3 linked regions of the Saccharomyces cerevisiae S288C genome follow. Changing the gene in region 1 together with any one later gene gives a genetic interaction. Each region holds a gene or a part of one and is shown on either strand. Other genes may lie near its edges.

Region 1 (7,551 bases):
CCAGATGAAGTTCGTGAATGGACCATCAGAAGAGGTACTAAAGCTCCACAAGCTGCTGGTGTTATTCATAACGATTTAATGAATACCTTTATTTTGGCTCAAGTTATGAAATGTGAAGATGTCTTCGAATATAAGGACGATTCTGCCATCAAGGCCGCTGGTAAGTTGATGCAAAAGGGTAAAGACTATGTCGTTGAAGACGGTGATATCATTTACTTCAGAGCTGGTGCTGGTAAGAATTGATTTCGTGCACTAAAGTTGACTTTTCTTTATTTGGTTTAGTTCCCTACTATATATCATCATAGAAATTTTCAACATGATTTTCTTGAAAGAGAAACGAAAGGAAAAAAGCAATCTCGCGAGTGGATGGCATCGGATTTTATGTATGTGTGTATGTATGTTTATTATTCCCGCATGTTTACGCCCTTAAGCCCAATTAATAATTTGAACTGACAAGCATAATCATTTGACTTTCATTTTTTTTACTATTTTTTTCTATTTACAATGTAACTGTTAAATTGAACGACCCATAAGTTCGGTATCCTAGCTGTGTCTTTTTCTTTTTTTTTTTGCTCAATTGAAGATAAAAGAGTACCATTTTTTTGACCTACGCTCCCGTTCTTCCTTTGGCACATACGCCTGAATTTGTTCACGAATCTTTTCGAGACCAGATTGCTCATCGTAGTTTCTTCCCAACGCATCGATAAACTGTCCTTCAGGGTCGATCAAATAGAAAAATATCGAATGGTCCACTAAGTAATCCTGGTTGGGCTTGACATCACGTGGAGTTGAAAAATATACCTTGTATTTTTTGCATACGCTTTTCACTTGGTCGTACGTACCGGTTAAACCAATGATAGCTGGGTGAAAATCGCTTAAGTACTCTTTCAAGACATCCGGTGTATCTCTTGCAGGATCACATGAGATAAACAATGGCTGTATCTTTATATGGTCTTTATCATCTAATTCAGAAATCCAATACGTTAATCTGTCAAGCTCTTCTGGACAAATGTCGGGGCAATGACTGAATCCAAAGTATAAAATGGAAAACTTACCCTTCAAATTCTCCTCAGTGAAAGGCTTACCATTAAAATCTGTTAAATTGAAAGGACCGCCAAGTGCTACTGAACCGTAAGCTCTGTTAGCATCTGCTTCCTTTTCAGTTTCTAGCAAGCGTCTTTTTCTTGATAAATAGGCATACGTCCCACCACTTAGCAACAATAGAGCAATGGTGGCCTTCCATCTGGAAAATTGAAAAAACCTGGTTCTAATAGGCTCTGGTTCATTGATTTCATCACCTAGTTGTAGCCTATCTAGTGGTTGTCTTGCACTTGGGCTTTCCTTGTTATCACTCCTCAAACAACATCCCGTTGAAAACCCTCTTCGATATGCGCCTCCATTATAAAAGAGTCCTTTTATTGAGACGTTCGCTTGTCTGAATAGGGAACGACAAGCATATTTTCTTGAACTATTCAACATTTTACTCTCGCTTCCCAAATTCCCCTTTCTATGGTGATATTATAAAAGATCCTGTAAGCTGCTGTTTTACGAAGGTATTGTAGACGATCCGTAGCCCTCTTTAGCAATTGTTTGACTACTATCGATGGGACTTCTCGAAATTCATACTTTGTTAGGTTTTCTTTTTTATCCCTAAAAAGAGCGAAAGGATCAAGCAGAAAATTAAAACAATAGGCTACATCATCGAAGTTTCAAAGACCGGCATATCCGTCCATTTTTGAAAACACCCCACCCAAAATTGTAACTATCGACAGATTCTATGATAGCTACCCCGGGATGAAGGGCAGTCTTCTATAACTTGGGGCGGCAAGCAAACCAACCGTCATAGTTAATAAACCACACGTTGGTTATTTAGATTTCTCGTCCTGCTTTTCTGTCGCCAATAGGGCAACCTTAGAAAAGGTTTGAGGATAGTGACTACATGCAATCAAGGTAAAAGCGTTATCGAATAAGTAACAAGCATTCCGTGCTAAATTGACGAGAATTGGCAAGATGCGTCAGCACTATTTGGAGCAAACACACCAACTGGATGTCTTAAAAGTCAATTCAACGACCAATTTATGTAACCAGCGTGACTAGGGCAACGAATTTACGTCTTTTTTCTAAACTGCATATGCTATGAAATTAAAGATATACTGCCTCTATAAAAACATTTATATTTTCCCTCCTTTGCAATGGAAATGAAAACGGCGGTAAAAAAATTCGTGAGAATAAAGAGACGAGTACAAAAGTTCAATTAAAAACGCCAGGAACTGTTCTTTATCTTATTCTCTCCGTACGCTGTGTCACAAAGCTCTTGTATTGTGTCTCGCTTTCTTTTTCCAGATCTATGAAACCAGAATCACACCGCAGCAGCGACGGCTGTACCGTATTTAAGAGAATCCGCATGGGAAAAGATTACAAATTACCCTAGACAAATTTATAGAAGCGGTGCTTGTGAGATTTACTCACATTCTAGGATTCGAGAACTAAGCATTGTAGTTCTTATTTACATCCTTGAACAAATACCTGCCTATCTCCGCACGTACTACGTAGCCACAAATGTATATATAATCGTGCGTTGTATTTGCGCCCTCACCCACATATTTGACATGTGCATGAGACTGGATATTTCTTGAAGCATATTCAATAGCGTCGATGGACAGTTAGCCCGCAGTTGTATTGCATTCAGCACCTGCATAGGTGACCCTCTTTGGCTGCCTATTTGGATAAAACGCGTTATTGGCGCTGGCGCAGACCTCGAAAAAAAAAATCAAAAATGAAAATAAGAGCATAAAAATAGAAATCAAAAATATTCTTTCCTGTGTTTCAGATTTACATTCAGTACCAACATTTCGACTTGTAGTAAATCCTGCTAGAAGAATCACATTGGTAGACGGTTATAAACGTTTACCGATTTGCAAAGTTCTCGAGTATTTTTGGTGTAGGTCCCATTTTCTTCAAAGGTCCTGTTTAGACTATCCGCAGGAAAGAAATTAGAATGACCGGCTTGAATGGAGATGATCCTGATGACTACTATCTGAACCTTAATCAAGATGAAGAGTCTCTACTTAGGTCAAGACACAGTGTCGGCTCAGGAGCACCTCATAGACAAGGCTCTTTAGTGCGGCCCGAAAGAAGCCGACTGAACAATCCTGATAATCCACATTTTTATTATGCGCAGAAAACGCAGGAGCAGATGAATCACCTGGATGTTTTACCATCAAGTACCGGTGTAAACCCAAATGCAACTCGTCGGAGTGGCTCCCTGCGCTCCAAAGGCTCAGTGAGAAGCAAATTTAGTGGCCGCGAAACGGATAGCTATCTTTTACAAGATATGAATACTACTGACAAGAAGGCTTCCGTTAAAATAAGTGATGAAGGTGTTGCGGAAGACGAATTTGATAAAGATGGTGATGTGGACAATTTCGAAGAAAGCTCCACGCAGCCCATAAATAAGTCTATCAAACCATTAAGAAAGGAAACGAATGATACATTGTCATTTTGGCAGATGTACTGTTATTTCATTACGTTTTGGGCACCTGCTCCAATTCTTGCTTTCTGCGGGATGCCAAAGAAGGAAAGACAAATGGCGTGGAGAGAAAAGGTTGCTTTAATTTCTGTCATCTTGTACATTGGTGCGATTGTGGCTTTCCTGACTTTTGGTTTCACTAAAACCGTTTGTAGTAGTTCGAAACTACGTTTGAAAAACAACGAAGTATCAACAGAATTTGTCGTAATTAACGGTAAGGCTTATGAATTGGATACTTCCTCGCGTTCCGGTATACAAGACGTTGAAGTAGATTCAGACACCCTTTATGGGCCCTGGTCAGATGCTGGTAAAGATGCTTCGTTCTTGTTTCAAAATGTGAATGGTAACTGTCATAACCTTATAACTCCAAAGAGTAATTCTTCCATTCCCCATGACGATGATAATAATTTAGCATGGTATTTTCCTTGTAAGTTAAAGAATCAAGATGGCTCTTCGAAGCCAAACTTCACAGTTGAAAATTACGCAGGATGGAACTGTCATACGTCTAAAGAAGATAGGGACGCATTTTACGGTTTAAAGTCGAAAGCTGATGTTTACTTCACTTGGGATGGTATAAAGAACTCTTCTAGAAACTTGATTGTTTATAATGGCGACGTTTTGGATTTAGATCTTCTTGATTGGTTGGAAAAGGATGACGTTGACTATCCCGTTGTATTCGATGACTTGAAGACTTCAAATTTACAAGGTTATGATCTTTCGTTGGTTTTGTCAAATGGGCATGAAAGAAAAATTGCGAGATGTTTGAGCGAAATTATTAAAGTTGGTGAAGTAGACTCCAAAACCGTCGGTTGTATTGCCTCTGATGTCGTTTTGTATGTTTCTCTGGTATTTATTCTTTCAGTGGTGATAATTAAATTCATAATTGCCTGCTACTTCCGTTGGACTGTAGCTAGGAAACAAGGTGCATATATCGTGGACAATAAAACAATGGATAAACACACAAACGATATCGAGGATTGGTCTAATAATATTCAAACAAAAGCTCCTCTAAAGGAAGTAGATCCTCATTTGAGGCCAAAGAAATACTCAAAAAAGTCGTTGGGACACAAGCGTGCTTCAACCTTTGACTTGCTGAAAAAACACAGCTCCAAAATGTTTCAATTTAACGAATCTGTGATAGATCTAGACACCTCCATGAGCAGTTCACTACAATCTTCTGGTTCATACAGAGGAATGACAACAATGACCACTCAAAATGCTTGGAAACTCTCGAATGAAAACAAAGCTGTACATTCCCGTAATCCATCTACTTTGTTGCCTACATCCTCGATGTTTTGGAATAAAGCGACTTCCTCTCCTGTACCAGGATCATCGCTGATTCAGAGTCTTGATTCGACGATTATACATCCCGATATCGTTCAACAACCACCACTGGATTTTATGCCATACGGGTTCCCATTGATTCATACTATCTGTTTTGTTACTTGTTATTCTGAGGATGAAGAGGGTTTAAGAACCACTTTAGACTCTCTTTCTACCACAGATTATCCAAATTCCCATAAACTACTGATGGTTGTTTGTGATGGTTTAATTAAGGGCTCGGGCAACGATAAGACTACTCCAGAGATAGCGTTAGGAATGATGGACGACTTTGTCACCCCACCTGATGAAGTTAAACCTTACTCCTATGTGGCAGTGGCATCAGGCTCTAAAAGACACAATATGGCCAAGATATATGCGGGTTTTTACAAATATGACGATTCTACAATTCCACCAGAAAATCAACAACGTGTCCCAATCATTACAATTGTGAAGTGCGGTACTCCTGCAGAGCAGGGGGCCGCCAAACCCGGTAACAGAGGTAAGCGTGATTCTCAAATTATTCTGATGTCCTTTTTAGAAAAAATAACATTTGATGAAAGAATGACTCAATTGGAATTTCAGCTTTTAAAAAATATTTGGCAGATTACGGGGCTAATGGCAGACTTCTACGAAACGGTACTTATGGTTGATGCTGATACTAAAGTCTTTCCCGATGCTTTAACTCATATGGTCGCTGAAATGGTTAAAGATCCTTTGATTATGGGTCTTTGTGGTGAGACCAAGATCGCTAATAAGGCACAATCTTGGGTAACTGCAATTCAAGTGTTTGAGTACTATATTTCGCATCATCAGGCTAAAGCTTTTGAATCTGTCTTCGGTTCGGTAACTTGTTTGCCGGGATGTTTCTCAATGTATCGTATAAAATCTCCTAAAGGTTCAGATGGTTATTGGGTACCTGTATTGGCAAATCCAGATATTGTTGAAAGATATTCGGATAATGTTACAAACACTTTGCATAAGAAGAACTTATTATTACTTGGTGAAGATAGATTTTTATCTTCATTAATGTTAAAGACTTTCCCTAAGAGAAAGCAAGTATTTGTTCCAAAAGCTGCTTGTAAAACTATTGCCCCTGATAAATTCAAAGTCTTACTTTCCCAGCGTCGAAGATGGATTAATTCTACGGTACATAACCTTTTTGAATTAGTTCTAATCAGAGACTTATGTGGCACTTTCTGTTTTTCCATGCAATTTGTGATTGGTATTGAATTGATTGGTACTATGGTACTGCCGTTAGCCATTTGCTTTACTATTTATGTCATTATTTTTGCCATTGTATCAAAACCTACACCCGTAATCACTTTAGTTTTACTGGCAATTATTCTTGGTCTGCCCGGCTTAATTGTTGTTATAACTGCTACGAGATGGTCGTACCTATGGTGGATGTGCGTATATATTTGTGCTTTGCCTATTTGGAATTTCGTACTACCTTCATATGCGTACTGGAAATTTGATGACTTCTCATGGGGTGATACGAGAACTATTGCGGGAGGTAATAAAAAGGCACAAGACGAGAATGAAGGTGAATTTGATCACTCAAAGATTAAAATGAGGACATGGAGGGAATTTGAAAGGGAAGATATTCTCAATCGGAAGGAGGAAAGTGACTCCTTCGTTGCATAGACAGTATGAAAATATTTTTACTGTGATACTTACAAGTTGATATATGGTTGTGTGTAACTTATTTATTTGAGAGGTATTTTAACACACCTTAGAACTAAAACTTAATAAATAAATATTTCTCTATCTTTAAAGGCACATATTACGTGGCTAAGGCAATTACAGCTGATATACTGTAAAACTCATGTCGCCACTAAATTCTTCTAACACGCGTTCTGTCTCTTTCCAAGGGACTCCGAATATGCCACTATTTATCTGTGGCATTTCCAATTTATATTCCCCTATTGGGTATTTGATGTGGCCGTTTAAATAGTCACCGATTGAATCTTCACTTGTTCGAGTTTTGTCTTTTGCTTCTCTAAAGGTCTTCAATTTATCTAAAGCAAGTTTTGTATAATTCAAAATACTTTGCTTTTCTCCATGACTTGAACCTCCAAATGATGATGTAAACAAGCAACAAATCAGCAGATCTGAGTTTTCGTAACTGGGAAGTAATATGCATTTGCCTAGTAAATTAGAACCATACTTTTCGCATACTTCAACGTAATCTTTCTCTGCTTTTGGGTAGCGCAAAGCAAGTTGATAAGCGATCCCACCACCCCACGAGCCATTGCAGTTGCAAGAATGGATGAGGATCCTAGCATATGACTTTGGTTTTAAGATGTTACCTTTGACATAAGTGATGTTCGACATACCTGTAACTTGATGCTATATTTATCTTGGAGAAGATACTAATAAACTCAAACTTTTCGTGTAGAAATCTGGGCTTCAAGTTCGCATAGCATAACGAATCGTAAAGTTATGCATATGGCATAATACAACAATTATCCATTTTTTCTCGTGTGTAAAAAGAGAAAGGAGAGAGGAAAGAACGCTAAGCCATAAAGCAAACAAAAAATCGAATGAAAGTGAGTGAATATATTAAAACCAGTGAAATTAATGCTCATTGAAGGCCAAATGCACAAAGTAAATGCTAAAGAGAACGTAAATAGAAGTAAGTAGTATAGATAAGGATTAATATCATTACACATGAAAATTTGAAAAATATTTCAGATTAA
Region 2 (6,594 bases), on another chromosome or scaffold:
GACCAAAGCTTCCAAAAGCATCACTTAACAGGTTACCAACTTTTGAGGCAATCAGCTATATGTCATGTTCTAACCTGAGAAATAGAATAGCAAAAATAGATCAATTTGGTATATCCACACTGAAAGCAAAGCATATTTTAAGAATATTGAAAAATTTGGCTGAAATCATCAAGCGAAAATCGCTTATTACAGGGTCAGAGAGTGATGAAATCCCCATATGGGTTCTTGCTTCCAATTGCTTCTGTGATTTGTCGAACAAAATTTTCAAATCACTCCAAGAAGATGCAGAAAATCCATTAAAGGATAACTTTTGTGATTTATTTATAAATGTTATTGTTGTCACATTACAAAGAATCAACCCAGAGCTCGATAATTTAACCGAGATAGACGATTTGAATGAGTATTCCAAATATAGGGAGATATTGCTGGAAAACAGAATCATTGATCTCTTCAATGAAAGGCAATTAGACACTTTCATTTATGCCGTCTGGGATTGTTCATTTTTATATGAATTCGATGAATTAGAAAATGCTTTGATGCAAGACTGTGGTACGTTTTCTGAATTGTCTCAAAAACTATCTTCGTTCGATTTTTCATGTATATTTGGATCCACCACAAATCCTCGCTTTCAGACAAAATATAAGTGCTCTTTAGAGTGCTTGCAAGATTTGGTTAATTTTATGTTGAACACAAACGAGAAATTAAGAAAGTTAACTGCTCCTTATCTTTCTGCAAGAATTGCCCTTGCTCTTAGAAGATATATCTCAGATGAATACTTGATTGGGCGAGCACCAATACCAAAATTGCGTAAAACAGAACTAGCTACTCTATTAAATGGGCTATGCGTGATTTTAAGAGGTGTTCTAGATCAAAATTCGACCCTTGGCAACAAACAAATTGGAGTTGAAAACCTACAAACATTAAGTCCGTTGATTTTAAGAACCATCCCAGTATCTCATAAAATGGATGGCCTCCAAGATAAAGTTTTGGAATTATCACTTGGATTTACGAAACTAGACTAGAAGCTGAAGCATGGACGAATATTTTTAAAAATCACGTAGGATAAATAGTAATATTAAACGACATTGGATTGATTATTGTATCGTTGCAGGTCTTTTTTTATTTACTTTAAAAAAAAAACTTTTAAGGTGAACGTATTTATATATTATGCCATTGGTATGCATAGCTAAAAGAAAAGAAATACATAAGATTGTAGTATGTATGATATGCTTATAGAAATAGTTGTGTGCTTCATTCCTTCCACTCCAACAGTGATGTCAAATCCTTTGGATCACATGCCATATTGAAAAAACCGTGGTGTAAAAGCTCTTCGGTTGATGCCCTATATCTAACATCTACGCAAAGGCAAACGCTTAGAAAGCGTTTAATTTCTAAAGACAAACTTTCTGGATGCTTGAGCTTTGGTGTACCATTAGTTGCAATTAAGTACAACGCCTTTAGTGGATCTTCATTTAAATATGGTGGTTCACCCTCCAGCATTTCAATGGTCATGATACCCAAAGACCATACGTCAATCTTTTCATCGTATTCACGTTGTTTGACAACTTCAGGTGCCATCCAGTAAGGTGTCCCAACCATAGTGGCTCTTTTGCTTCTTTTATCAGTTAATCTGGCGCAAAACCCAAAATCGGTAATTTTCACCCTAGCTCTAGTGTCCAGCAAGACATTATCTGATTTAATATCCCTATGAATGATATGCTTGTCGTGTAGAAATTTCAAGCCTTGGCAAGTTTCTCGTACGATATATGCAATTTGGGGTTCTGTTAGTGGTGAATGTGAATTATCGTTGGTGGGACTATTCTCGATAATGTCTGTTAGTGAACCTCCTTCCATAAACTCCATCACAACCCATAGGTCATCGTCTGTTCTCAAATAAGCCTCGAGAAAATTGACGATATTTTTATGACGTGAATCCTTCATAACCAAAATTTCATTCACTATGAGTTCTTTACGAGGTTGTTTAGATAAGACCATTTGCTTGATAGCAACTTTATCTCCTACGTGCGGCTCATCAATATCATTGTTTATGAGTTCGATCATATTACTTTCTGTCGGAATATGCGTCCTCTCTGCAAGGTAGACGGACCCACTTGCACCTTGACCGGCCTTCTCGATCACTTTAAAGCATTGAGATGGATCCGCATTTACGGTGACTTTCTTCAGCTTACTCATTATTTCTGCAGTTGACATGGTAGGCCTTGCTGGCTTCTTCGGTTTGGCCACACCACCCGGTTGTGCGACATCTGCATCCGGTCTCTTTGGGGCCTGCCTCATTGTTTGTGGGGTTGACTGGTCATTCTTAGGTGCAACAGGCTGTACATGTGTGTTACTAGTAGCATTTTGATTTGATGGGTATGGCGCCCTTGGAGCTGATATTGGTGGCTTTGGAGCTGTTCTTTGAGGTTGAAAGTGTGCGGCTGTAGGACTTGAGTTTTGTGCATAACGTGGAATTGCTTGGTTTTGGGTCGACTGTGAACTTAATGGCGATTGAGGTTGTTTGGAATAAGGATTTATCATATTGTGATGTGGCCTATAAGGGTTTAATGGAGACGGAGATGGGGATGGAGATGGAGATGGTCCTTGATGGTGGTATGGATATTGTTGATGCTGTTGTTTTTGTTGCTGCTGCTGCTGCTGCTGCTGCTGCAAAGATCGTTGAGAATTGTTTGGATGCATAGGTCCCCTAGGAAATTGGCCATTGGTTGGGGAGTGTCCGTTTCTCATCTTAGGATATTGTTGGTTGGGAACATTTTGTAAGTGTCTTGGAATATTTGACTGACTAGTGGGCAATTTTGTATTTATTGGTGGCAGTGAGCCGCTTCCTAGAGAAACAGGCGATTTGGTATTTGGTGGTTGTGAGGTTTTCCTCTGTGATACCATACTTGAAGAAACGCCTGAAGATGACTTTGAATTTACTGAATTATTTCTGAGTTTGTTATCATTATAGCTGTTTGGCAGCGATTTTTGAGAGGAGGAAGTTTCACCACTTTGAGGCTTGTCTAAAGTATTTGTGGGATTTCCGGCTCCATTATACTCTTGATAAAACTGCAACACTTGAATGACAGCCGCAGAATTATTGTTCCAATCTTCTCCTGTAATTCTGGAGTGCTTTAATAATTTTTCCCAGTTGGTGGGCATACCAACAAAACTACCTGTTTCTGGATCAAAACCAACGTGAACTTTATGTGTGAAGTTTGTTGGAGAAGATACACCACTTAATAATGGACATTTAGCAAAAATGGCGTCTAACCAACTATGCAAATCGCTTTCTGTCTTTGTAGCAATGTATATTGATTTTTTGGAGTTACTGTCTGATGATACATTCAAAGAGGACGAGGATCCTGATGATACAGAATTTCGGTCACTGCAGCGCACCAACTCAAAACAATATTGTTTCAACTGTGTCCTGCTTACACTTATAATACTAGTTAGTGGTATCTTCAAGATCGCATCGTCATTTTGTTTATCGTTCTTGTAAAGGGCTACATACGAATCGTGTAGCATCAGGTATCTCTTTTGCCATATAAATGAAAGTATACCGTCATCTTTGTAGGACACCCACCCGCTTTTTTTTTTGGAGGTACTTGTACCTAAATGGGACGCTGATGTTAAATCCAGTTGACTCATAAGTTTGGTTATAGGTTGCGTTTGATTATAGCAAGTACGGCCCTGGCTATTTGAACTGGGAGGTCTAGGTGCCGGTCCGATATTTTGGAAATCGTTGTCAGATATCTTATTCGCTGCAGCTGAAAGAGACATATTTTGCACTATTTCTTTTATGTTTCAGTTTCACTGTTCGATTTATTACACCAAAGAAACCACCAGGAATGAATGATAGCAAAAGATGCAATGGTTTTCAGTAGCGCAGTACGTTCGATCGAAATAAAGGACTTAAGGTTTTGATCTTATTAGCAGCAGAAGCAAATAACTGGCAACGCTAATACATGTACAAGGCTCAGGCTAGAAGGTTCTTTCAAATTATGTGTCTCGAATCAGACTCTCCTGCACGTTCCATACTATGTTTCTATCATGCCAGAGATGAAAAATTTCGTCATCTTACCGGCTCGAGAAAATTTCCATATCGGGAAACTATCCTTTTTTGGTGGCTCTATATTTCCGGAAAGGGAAAATACCCACGCGTTTGATATCATTAGCTTATTGTTTCACTTGGACATCGATGTGGTATTCTTGTATAAATAGTAAATAGTCTATAAGAGTCTATATTGTGTTAAAGAGCCTGGCCTTTAGAGAGCCAGTAGTCCCTTCTCGTTTGAGCATCTACTGTCTTAGTTTCCAGTGGTGATTTCTCATCTTGTCCCGAAGGGGTATCTCTTCCTTTTTGATCTTGATCGGATTCTTGATCATTCTCAGAAAGTCCCATCAAGTCATCTATGCTGAGGTTGTTTTGGTGTAGGAGAGAGCCCTGATCAGTTTTTTTCACTTTGCGTTTCAATTTGCTTCTGCTCACTCCAAAATCCGGAGGTGGAGATGGAATGGCACTCTTTTTGATTTCCCCTTCTCTCTTATCCTTTTTTGCCTTCTGTTTCTTCTTTGCAGGTTCGTCAAGTTTGTAGATCTCCTCTACTGGCAAGTCTTCGGTGTCGTTTATAAATAAATCTTCTTGAACTATCCTCGTGCGCCTCTTGTGGTAGCGCTCGTTTTCAATGATGGCTTTATTCTGCACTAAATCTCTTTCGTCGTTGAAATCTCTCTTTTGCCCACGGTATTTGATCACGTTTCCGAGTATACTTTTTCCAACGCGGTCTTTGAATGTAGCAGAATTCAATTCCCAGCATTTATTGACCAACAGTTCGAAGGCACCAGCAAAGGCCTTTTTTATATCCTTCATATTAAAGGAGCCTCTGCTTATATTATTGTTAGGATCACCAGGATCTTGAATAGCTAGCGAGAATTTACTCCTTGAAGGTTCCAAAGTTCTCCAACACGATTTAGGAATATAAGAGGCGTAACCATCAGATATGCTTATAGCAACGTCATCATAACCAAAATTTTTTCCGTAAAGTTCGAAGAAGTCAATCAGTAGAACACCCAGGTTATCTAGAACGTCGATATCGTTTGATTTTATTCGCGGATGCATATTTAAAAAAGAATAAACCAAACAGATTACTGTGAAACCTCCCAATCCTCCTGTGTGCACATTGTTCAATCGTCTTGAATGCAAAAATTGTTTTATTATCAGTACCAGTTCACGTAACCCTGGAGAGTCTCTTAGCCATTCCCTGATGAGTTTTGCAGCCTCTAACCCGTTCGTTCTTTCAAATGAAACGTCGATATGTAACTGTGATTGGGGCTCTATGAATTTGATAATAGGCACTCGCGTTTTAACAATAACCTCCATTCTTATAGCTAGCCCTTTGTTTTTCAAATGTCTCGCCAATTCATAAATGTAATTTCTGTCCTCTTTATCGCGATTCCGGCTGTTTACGACACAGTCAATGTCAGAACCCGGCAAATATAAATCGGTGGCAAAAGAACCAAACACATGCAAATCTGCATCCGACCACAGTTCCTTGACCGCCCGGCGTAGTTTATCGATCGTTCTATTTCTGCACTTGATTTCGTTCTTGCTTGGAGAGATATAATGAACGAAATCTTTGATTTCTGAAGTTAGCCAATCTGCTATTCTCCTTTGTTTCGAATGACAATGATTTCTTATCCAAGGATACTCCACATTGCAAGCGCTTTCAGTGTTCAGAGATTGCTGTGAAGTAAGCTTAGAAACTTCATGTTCATCGGTCAACAGAAAACTGCTTCTTTCATCATCATCTTCCTTTATTTGTTCTGTTTCATCTTCAGAGCTGTCCGAAAAAGCAATAAAATCTTGATTATCTTCGAGAGAATTGTTTCTTTTGCTAGATTCTGCCCTTTGTTCATCTTCACTTGATGTGACTTCTTCTATTACAGGTATGTCGACATCACTTTTATCATTTTCCATTAAGACTAGGTTTCCGAAAGTGTCATCGTCTTCAACGTCGATAGCGAGGCTCTCGTACTTGTTAAAATGCGAGCGATTATCGTTAAATACTTCAAGCATTTTTTGCGTTCTTGTGAAGGATGATTTACGCATACGTTTTGTATGTTTATCTTCTTTTCTTTTACCTTTTGTAGGTGAATATTTTGCTTTGAGCCTTGTCATGACGACCCAATAAACTCCGCCCTCGTTTGTTTATTTGAAAAATAAAAAATGATACGCTAGTGAAACGAACCAGCTTAACCTTGTGAACTGTTATTACAGATGTTTGCTTTCATCAAGTATCGCTTTATTACCTTTTTACAACTTTTTTTTTTTTAACTGCGATGAGATGAGATGCCTGGAAATTTGCGGGGGGTAACCACAAGAAAATAAATGTAACATATCGTTGAATTAGTATGTAGTTATGAGTTTATACAATGGTCTAGTAAGGTGCCTTCTGCGTCCTTATCGAAAGGAACTTTAGGAGAATGAAGCAGACGTTCCTTTATTAAGTATGACCAAGGAGTCCTTGCTTCGAAGCTAGCGAATCTGGTAACTGAGGGAAAATACATATCATGTAGATAAAAAAATGTGAAATT
Region 3 (9,314 bases), on another chromosome or scaffold:
ATCGTCATTAGTTGAATAGCCGACAGGGATTTTTCTATGATTAGAATGCGAAATATACTCCTTGGCATCTCGGATTGCGGCCTTCACGAAGGGTGATGCAAAGGTATTTGTATGGTCATTTGTCACTTCATTCCCTGCAAAATACCCCAACAAATTTGGAAAGGATGACATTGCATCAATTACAGATTTGTACCTTTCAAAAATATGTACATCCCAAGATGGATTTTCTCTATTTATTGAAATATCAGGCTCTGAAAGATCTAATAGGACGTACATTCCTTCGGCAGATAGAGCTTCCATACATATATCATGTGATTTTGTCGGATCTATTGCATAAACACGCAGTGTGTTCACTCCTAGCATTTTCAAAAATGGAATATCTCTTAAGCATATTTTTGGGTCCGCTAAGGCATCAATATAACTTGTCTCAAAAGCCCCATTTGCATTGCTAAGCTCCTCTTCACTTCTCTGCAATTGGTAAGCAATGCCCTTGATGAAGAACTGTTCCCCACTCTCAGAGTCAAAGAATTTGTTTCCTACAATTTTAATAGCAGGGGTTTTTTCAAAGCTGACACCTGAAGAGCCATGAGACAATTGCAAACAAAGAAAAATAGCCACAATAATGGCTGCGTAAAAATTTTGTTTCTTGTTCATACTTAACTGAAAAGTTTCAAGTACCTCGAGTTAACGAATAGTAACGGATGTAGGTTGTTGAATGTTGTCTTTGTCTGACAATCTTCTCGTTGGGGCTCGCAACTATCTAGCTAAATTAATTCATTTACAATCAGAGTGACACAAATTTTTTCAGAATTACTGACACCGAAAGCTGCTCCGTTTTTTATAAATAGAGGCCGATACTGGTGAAAAAAACTAGACAAAAGACTGTTTATAATCACATAACTGTACAAAAAAACCCTTATTGGCATAAACACATTCATATACCTATAATATAAAACTAAATTAAAAAGACGCTTCCAAAAATAAGTAAAAAAGCATCAACATTAAAACAATCTAAACCAAAAACATCGAACGGTATTTGCAACATCTTGAGAGTTTCTGGTCTACTTGCTTTTGGATAGAATATCAGTAAAATCAAGCGTTCAAGCAAGTATTGATTGTATTATTTTATAGTTGACCAGGTCTTTAATGATGGCGTATGAGTATAGTAGTGACTTTGATAAGTTGACATTTGGGAACCAGTGTCATTATTGGTTGTATTTATTGGTTGGAATAGATTGTGAACAACGCCATCCAATGAATCTCCAATGTGTTTGTGGATCTTAGCAGAGGCTACAGCAGGACCAATAATGCATCCTGCAAAAATAGCCAATACTAAAAAGTACAAAGAGCAGTACTTCTTGACCATACGCTTACGCAAACGAGTTTGCTTCAGAGAGTAAATTGGGGGACGAATTTGACGAGAGGGCTTTAGCCAGAATAGCATAATCGAGTGGAATTTATCTATTTTTGGGATTATAATGAGTGGCAGTTGACAGATTAAAATCACATGACCTAGAACAAAATCAGCTGCAAATTCTGAAAGCTCAATTACCTTGGCGGTTAATTCTCTACTTGGCTGGGTCCAAGCCATGTAACCCATACCTTTACCATACCACTTACCAGTCCAGAAGGCTGTATTGGCATGATCGTTTTTAAATTCACGAGTCAACATTAACGCTGTCATGCAATGAAAAATGAGTCTTTGACATTGGATACAAGTAACGACTCCGATTAACATTCTAACAAAGTTGAAGCTCTCCAAAACCCACATGACAATGAAAAAGGCAATGTGGACAATAACAGCAACACCGTGGGCAATTCCAGCCATTACAGAACCTGTCTTCTTACAACACATACCAAATAAGGGACCAGAGCAGCATGACATACCCATACAGAAGAATAGAACACCGAGGTTAACGGCGATTGGCGCCAAGGTACAAATGATGATACGTAAAACAGAATTCACCCTATCATCATCAGTAGTCTTGACACCGGTTTGAGCATTAATAAACGTGAAGGCAATAAAACAACCAGCTGCATAAATTGCACAGGGTATGATTTCAGCCATGATCAAATTGGTTCTATGAGCCCTGCTTGCGTCACCAGCAGCTTTCTCAGATTCATCGCCAACCAGTTTACGTTTAAACCCAGTAATACGTGCCCTAGACATCCTCACGTAACCAATCCACGAGTTTCTATGATATTGATTATTACCTCTTGATAACCATCTGATATAATCCCTGTAATCCAAAAAGAAATCTTCCCAAGCAAACTGATGTGGATTGAAAACGAAAGGCGCAAAAATTAATGAAGATAGAGAGGCCCAAAACCACAGTAGTGGAGCTTGCCAATGTGCGACAGTACCGAACAGCAACATTAACATTGATCTTGCACCCATGTAGATAGCAGATCCTGCAAATCTTGAATACAAAATTGAAAATGGTATACGAGAAGTTGCAAAACCACGACCGGTGGATATATAACGAGCACCACCAATTGCTAAATCACTTAATAACGCAGAAGAGTAGATTTGGCCCGCAAACACTTCGAACATAGGGGATAATGATAATAGGTGGCAGAAAAATCTTTGGGTGGCTTTCCATAGACCACGTTCAATTAGTTCTTGAACAACAATAGGAACGAAGGCAATCCAGAAAACAATGAAAATAGACAATGTATAACGTCTCACCCAATCAACCGCAGGTTGGAAGTTGTAACACCCAATTGGAACCAAAACATCTGTTTTTGGTTTGTTCCTATCGTAAATACACATAATAGATTCATGGGCCAAGGAAGATAAATTCACCAAAGTCAACATAAACATTTGCAAAGATAATTGAATGAACAAGTTGTTCAAATGGAAACCAGGATGGGCATAATAGAATGTTAGGAAACGGTCCACTGGTAATTGGGTACCCAGATAATAATATTCACGAGATAACATTTGTTCACCCATACCAGCACCAATCTTAGTAGTGAAATTTAGAATTGTACCGAAACCCAAATCTCTACCTTTACCACATTGATAATACTCACAATGCTTGATACGACCACCACGAAGCATAGCATTCATACCAGCATAAATATCTTCGTTTAAATGCAAACCCTTTTGTGCTTTGGAAACACCACCTCTAGTGGTCATAAACGTAGCATTAATGAAATCCGGATGACCATAATGCAATTTACCACCAATTTGAGATAAAGTACGCGCAAATAATGTACCAAAAGTTTGTTCTTTACCAGCGGCCACATCACCCAGCACACCAGAGTTTTCAGAGAAAATGTATTCTCTGGCACCAACAATAGCAACAGGATGATTAGTTGTTTGCTCCTCATACCTTAAACCGGGAGCATATGGATTAACTTGTTCAACGTTCAATTCCTCAAATTCAGCCAATACAGATCTAATCTTCAGACATTCTTCCAAGTAGTTATCTTGGTTGGCATCAATTAATTGAATGTATTCACCTCTGTAAAAAATCAAAGCATGGTTTTGGTTATCAGATTTACCGTCACCAAGAATTGGGTTACCAGATAATTGAACTCTAAACTTGGGACGTCTACGACCATTATCTAGAATTTCACAATGTCCATCAATCAAAGCGGAATAGATTCTTGGCTCCTCACCTTCAGTCAAAGGTGGCTCTTCATCCAAGTAGGCAATTTGTAAGTCTGGGTAAGCTCTCAACAAAAACTCAGCATTTTCCAGTTCATGTGGTTTGAATTTAGCCAATCTCTGCATAGAGACCAAAAATTTAAACTTTCTTCTTGCCATCTTTTCTAGCTCTCTTTCTAAGCCTTCAGCATTACCACCAAACATTTGAACAATTTCAGGATTTTCCACACGATACAGTAATTTGATAGCTCTTGAATAATTCATGAACCCTGAAATGGTACGATATAGAGTCTGCGACCTCAAAGAAGCCCAAATTCTCGTACGAAGTGTATATTCTGGAGCAGCAGATTTAAAACCAATACAATAAAATGGCAAATCATCGATTTGAGATTTCAAAGCATCTTCCTTTTCAGCTTCATTTTCATTTCCTTCATAGGCAGCGGTTTCTTCAGCCAAAATCTTAGTATCCTTAACAAAACATTCCCATTCAACGGGATGTAATTGTTTTAGATATTCTAAAAGAGTAACTCTAGAAAATTGGTCATCTTCACGAATAATTTCTCTTAATGACAGCAGAATTCTTTCCGCGTAGTGAGGAGTCAATACTGTGAACGTTGGCATGTTATCAACTGGAAGTGGTTCGGGAATTGGAGTAGACAAAGATTGAGCAAAGAAAGAAATACGACGCTCAGCCTCTGAATCCCTAGGGAAAAATTCAGTCTCAAAATTATTGTCATCTTGAGAAACAAAGAAGGTAGGAGCTCTCAAAGTTCTTTTACCTTCGATTTCAGATGGAACTTGATGATATAGTAATTTTTGTACATGGTCGATGGCTAAGAGATGTTCTCTGTACATTGAAATAATGATGGCATTCCATACTTGAGAAATCAAAACCTTTGGTTTGTATTTAATTTCCATATCAGTAGTAGCCAAAATCTTGGAGTATATTCTTTTTGGCAATCTTGTGAAGATATTTCTCCATGGTGTTAAGATAGAAATACCTAAATAGAAAGATTTCCCAACAGAGAAAATGGTATTCACAATAATGTACCATAAGTAGGTATCCAAGAAGAAAAGAATGAAGTCGGTAGCGATAACCAAACCTAAGACAATCTTGGGTTGCACTTTACAAAGTACCGCACCCCACCAGTATTCACCTGTACACCTCATTGCAGTGGTGGACAAAATTCTAATTGGATCTCTCAAAGATAAAACTAAAAAGTAGTACGATTCTGAATATTTGGCAGCAAAAACAGTAACCCAAACTAAATAGGACATCCATCTATCTAACCCATGTAGAGGGGCAAATGCAGCAGTGAATGTTTGAGATGCAACATAACGCCTTGTAGATTTTTTCATATATGACGTAAACAACCCCCCCAATGGCATAATGGAGAAGAATATGATGGTAGCAACCGCAACAAAGAACATAACAGCAGCAACAACGTGTGCAGCAGTGGAGTAGACTGTATCTTTGTCGTAAGCAAAAACAAAAATAATAGGACCCAAATTAATACCAAAGATGATGCATAAAAACCAGAATCTACGAGATAGATGTTGAGCACCAGCCCATTTTCTTGGAACGAATGACCATTCACACAAAGTAGCGACAATTTGAATCAAACTTGCGACAGTACCACCTAATGCGCAAGATGCCCACTTGTAAGCAGCCAAAGGTTGGTTGTCGACCAATTGTTGATAGTTATGAGTGTAAAATGTTGGTGAATTATATGCAAAGTACATCCAAAAAATGGAGATATGCATAACCCAAATACGGTTGAAGTTGGTGACCAAATGTAACCAAGTACGGGTCTCTTTATATGTTTTGAAGAATACATCATCCCAGACGACATCGCCTAATCTTAAATAACGTTCTTCCAATGGGAGTTCTATCAATTTTGTTCCATCTTCAAGAACAATCTTTGCAATACCTTCTGGATACCAGAACAATTGGTTTAAATCATCATAACCGACAATTTTGTTATGATCTCTTTCACGCTTGACAAAACGACCATCAACAATTTCATAAACTTGATTTCTGATGAAATGATAAATTGGCGTAATGACTCTATTCAAGAAATCACCTTCTGGCATAGGTTCTTGGCGTTGTTGGCAAAGAGGGGAATCCAAGTAGTCAAGAGCACACTTGTAGATAAAACATAAACATTCAGCAGTGAATCTGACTTGATTAGCTTCACCCCAACATAACAGATATAAGGCGATATGACGAACTCTTTCCAGGGGAGACAACTGGTTCATCTTGGCCTTCCATCTAAAATCAGCAGCCTCTAGGGAGTTGTCGCCTTCAATTTTGTTTAAAGTTTCTTCAGTGTCTTCGGGATTGGCCTCTTCCATTGCTTTCTTGTTTTTCTTCTTAGCTTTTCTTGCCTTCCTTGAGAGTTTTCCAAGACTCATATTTCTAAAACCAATTTCATCATCCATATCTAACTGAGCAGCAAAATACCATTTTTTATAGTTAGCAGTATCGCCACCAATGTAGTCGGCATGTAAAGATAGTAAAGCTTGATCAGGAGACATTCTCGAGGACCTAGAGTCCAAGAGAACCATAAAATGATCAAACATATTTCTCATGGAGTCTCTTTGGAACCCGAGTCTGTTGGTCAAATCAATAAAGATATCTTCGATTTGCTCGATCGAAACGGGAGATTGAGAGTCAGCAGTCCAAGCGGGATAAGGTTCATTTGGCAAAGCCATAGCGATAGCATTTGGGTCATAATTACCGTAAATTGGAGTCGAGGTACCCGACGAATTTGGTTCTCCATAACTCATTTGAGAAGCGGTATACTGACCACCATAGCTATCATATCCAGGTGTTCCAGGAGGGCCGTAACTGCTAAAATCCGAGAAGTTTTCACCGTCTTGAGCAGCCATATTTGGCGGTTGACCATAGTATTCACCGTTTGTGTAGTCTTGGTCGTAAGACTCGTTTGGTGGTTGTTGACCATACATATCAGCTTCAGTACCAGCAGCGACATTTGGATCGTAGTAACCATCAGCTTGTGAAGGATACAAAGGCTGGCCATATTGGTCATAGTCTTGTTCCTGACTTTGCCCGTTACCTGGTCCCTGGGTATAGTCCGTTTGGCCCTGATAAGGTTGTTGATCAGTGTTCATGGTCTGACCGTTGTATGAAAGACTTGATTTCAGCTACTTGCTTATTTTAATTTTTTTGAGCGAACGTAAGAGAGGTTAATGTCCTCTAACTATCAGTCCAATGACAGTATTTTCTCCTTCTCACAAACTACAATAAATATCTACCAATCTCTTTTCGAATAAGGACTAATGATATACGCTAGTTCCTGTTTGGTAAATGAAGGCTAGTGTTCGAGAATGGAGAACTTCGTAGTCGGTTAAAACAGCTGTAGTGTTCTGGCCTTCTTAGAAAGAATAAATAGTTCAGGAGTAAAATCAAAATATCTTTTAATATAAACTAAGACAAAGAAAGAAACAAGAATTTTGATCTGAAAAAATCGAAAAAAAGGAACGAATGGATCGATGAAAATTTTCGAGACTAGGTTATAATTATTTCTTTTTTTAGATTTGTGCGCGTAAAAAACGGAACCAGAAGAAGCCAAAAAAAAAAGAAATTCTTCCTGTGCTTCATCAAAACGCGAAAATTCGTCGCCCAGTAAGTGAGACTATTTCCTATAATAGAAATCCAAGTGGCAAAAGCGTTAGACGCAGTACAAGGACGCGTTAAGAAAAATTTCGAGAGAGTCGCCGATAGTAGGATTAGAGTTTCATAACGCGTTACACGGAAGGAGAGCAGTAAGGAGGGCCCGATACAGAAAAAAAAATGGCGCTTGTTACAGATTCTGATTGCCCGTACATGACATGGTCTTTCTTTTCTTTTTCGTTAATATTTCTGCTTTTTCATGTGTGTCGAAAATAGTTAGCTCGATAAGATACTGTGATAGGCAAAAAGAAAGTTTGTCCTTCCGCATCGGTGCTGTCCCTCCTTAGCTGAGGGTTCGGTGTACCTGTGCTTTTTCGGAACCAGTTCTTGGCCCGCTAAAAATCGCTACGTCCATCCCTTTGTCTTAGTCAAGCACGAAGGAATTCGAAGTTTATCGTAATTTTGCTTTGTTCTGGTCCCTTGGTTTTCTCTTTTTGCATAAATCTGGCAGTATCGTAAAATGTGATTTGCACAAACCAATGCACAGAGGAGAGTTGAAGTACAGATAGAATGCGTTTACGACATTACTTAGGCCTTTCCAGGGCGCGAAAAGACAAAATATGGATTGCCCTTGCTAATTGTGTAGATGTTTGCATGCCGCGGTTTTATCGCTGCGTCACATATGGGATTTTGATTGATTCAAAGCCTTGATATTATCAATAAATGGTTCAATCACATCCCATTTATTGAATTGGAGGCCTTCTTCGTCCTCTTCTGTACTTGAAGTGATTGATTCAGATTCTGCGTTTGAGGACTCTCTTTGTTGGCTTTGCTTCATATCTTGAACAGTTCCGTTGCACCAAGCGCTCAAGAGTTGTTGCCGTTTTCCTTCATTGTTCTTTAACCAGAGTTGAATAATTTCATCAATTCCCAAAAATAACTGCGGAATCTGGTGCTCAAAGACAATTTTTATGAGAATTTCAATAAATGACAAAAATACTTCATCGGAAAATTTTTCTAAAAAATTGACAGAATACATGAACTTAACGATCAAGATAAAGCATTTTTGAATCTCTAAAACAATCGTTGAAAATACTCTACTGAAAAGAACGTAGTTGATAATAGTGTTTCTATTGTGGCATTGATCTTGTTCTTTTAGCTCGATTCCGAATTTGAAAGTTTCCAAAATAGAATTGGAAAAATGCTTCAAACGGCACATTATGTCCACTATATTTGTGGAGGGATACTGACCCTTTAGCTTGCAAATTATGTACTTGTCATTGTAGCATTTCAAATCTGCATCAAACATTTGTAATAAGTTTATGTTCTTTATCAACGTTTCGACCCAAATATCGTGCACAATGAACTCAATTGTGTTAATGAAAGTAGATTTTTCGAAAGCCTCATCAGAAGAGTCGGCCAAGAGTTCAATGTCTTCAAAAAAGTTTAATAACACCACGCAGTTCGGAAGTATTAGTTCTACCAAATTTTCTTCGGGATTATCTTTGCTTACTCGAAAGTCATAGAGCGTATTGAATAGTTTTTTGTTTATTTCATTTAGAGTCAACGAACATTTTTCAAGGGTGGCACCAGATAATAACTCAGCATAAGGGACATTATCGTCAAAACTAAATTCTATCACGTCTTCATCTGCAGTATTTAGCATAAAAGTTGCTGAGTTTGAACGAAGACTATCAATGTTTCCATTTTTTTTTGAAAATTTTGACTCCGCTATATGGTTACAGTCAATACTCTGGGTATATTTACCACTCGAAGCTGGGTCATTACTGTTGTTAATTTGGTAGTTTAAATTAGAAGAATTATCATCTTGAATTCTATCCCACTTTCCTTCTTTCTCATCGATCCTTATCGGAACTGCGTCAGTTCCAAACTGGCTTCTGATAGTTTCTGCATTACCGCGATGGAGCTGTTCGCTTTTATGGTGCCCTGAATTGTTTTTTGATGTGAATAAAGAATCATCTAATGGAAAAAAACCTATACTACTCTTTTTTTTTGAAGGTACATTATCTTTTACGGTATATTCGTATTCCAAAGGAAGAA

Evidence for each region. Genes that interact genetically often act in the same process or in processes that back each other up.
Region 2: mutations in CHS3 (region 1) and CLA4 together harm fitness more than expected from each alone (negative genetic interaction), as found in Saccharomyces cerevisiae (8 studies listed by BioGRID, with this or other methods).
Region 3: mutations in CHS3 (region 1) and FKS1 are lethal when combined (synthetic lethality), as found in Saccharomyces cerevisiae (7 studies listed by BioGRID, with this or other methods).

Annotation. Positions count from the first base shown.
Region 1 is NC_001134.8:283,373-290,923, reverse strand, and holds CHS3 (chitin synthase CHS3), read left to right. Parts: upstream 1-2,998; coding exon 2,999-6,496; downstream 6,497-7,551. Other genes in the region: OLA1 (Obg-like ATPase), read left to right, coding at 1-243; putative thioredoxin peroxidase SCO2, read right to left, coding at 574-1,479; POA1 (ADP-ribose 1''-phosphate phosphatase), read right to left, coding at 6,653-7,186. UniProt on the Saccharomyces cerevisiae protein: Polymerizes chitin, a structural polymer of the cell wall and septum, by transferring the sugar moiety of UDP-GlcNAc to the non-reducing end of the growing chitin polymer.
Region 2 is NC_001146.8:66,101-72,694, reverse strand, and holds CLA4 (serine/threonine protein kinase CLA4), read right to left. Parts: upstream 3,781-6,594; coding exon 1,252-3,780; downstream 1-1,251. Other genes in the region: MON2 (Mon2p), read left to right, coding at 1-1,022; non-canonical poly(A) polymerase TRF5, read right to left, coding at 4,250-6,178. UniProt on the Saccharomyces cerevisiae protein: Involved in budding and cytokinesis.
Region 3 is NC_001144.5:807,434-816,747, reverse strand, and holds FKS1 (1,3-beta-D-glucan synthase), read right to left. Parts: upstream 6,752-9,314; coding exon 1,121-6,751; downstream 1-1,120. Other genes in the region: GAS2 (1,3-beta-glucanosyltransferase), read right to left, coding at 1-654; YLR342W-A (uncharacterized protein), read right to left, coding at 765-938; SPO77 (Spo77p), read right to left, coding at 7,930-9,314. UniProt on the Saccharomyces cerevisiae protein: Alternate catalytic subunit of the 1,3-beta-glucan synthase (GS) complex. Synthesizes 1,3-beta-glucan, a major structural component of the yeast cell wall. Involved in cell wall synthesis, maintenance and remodeling.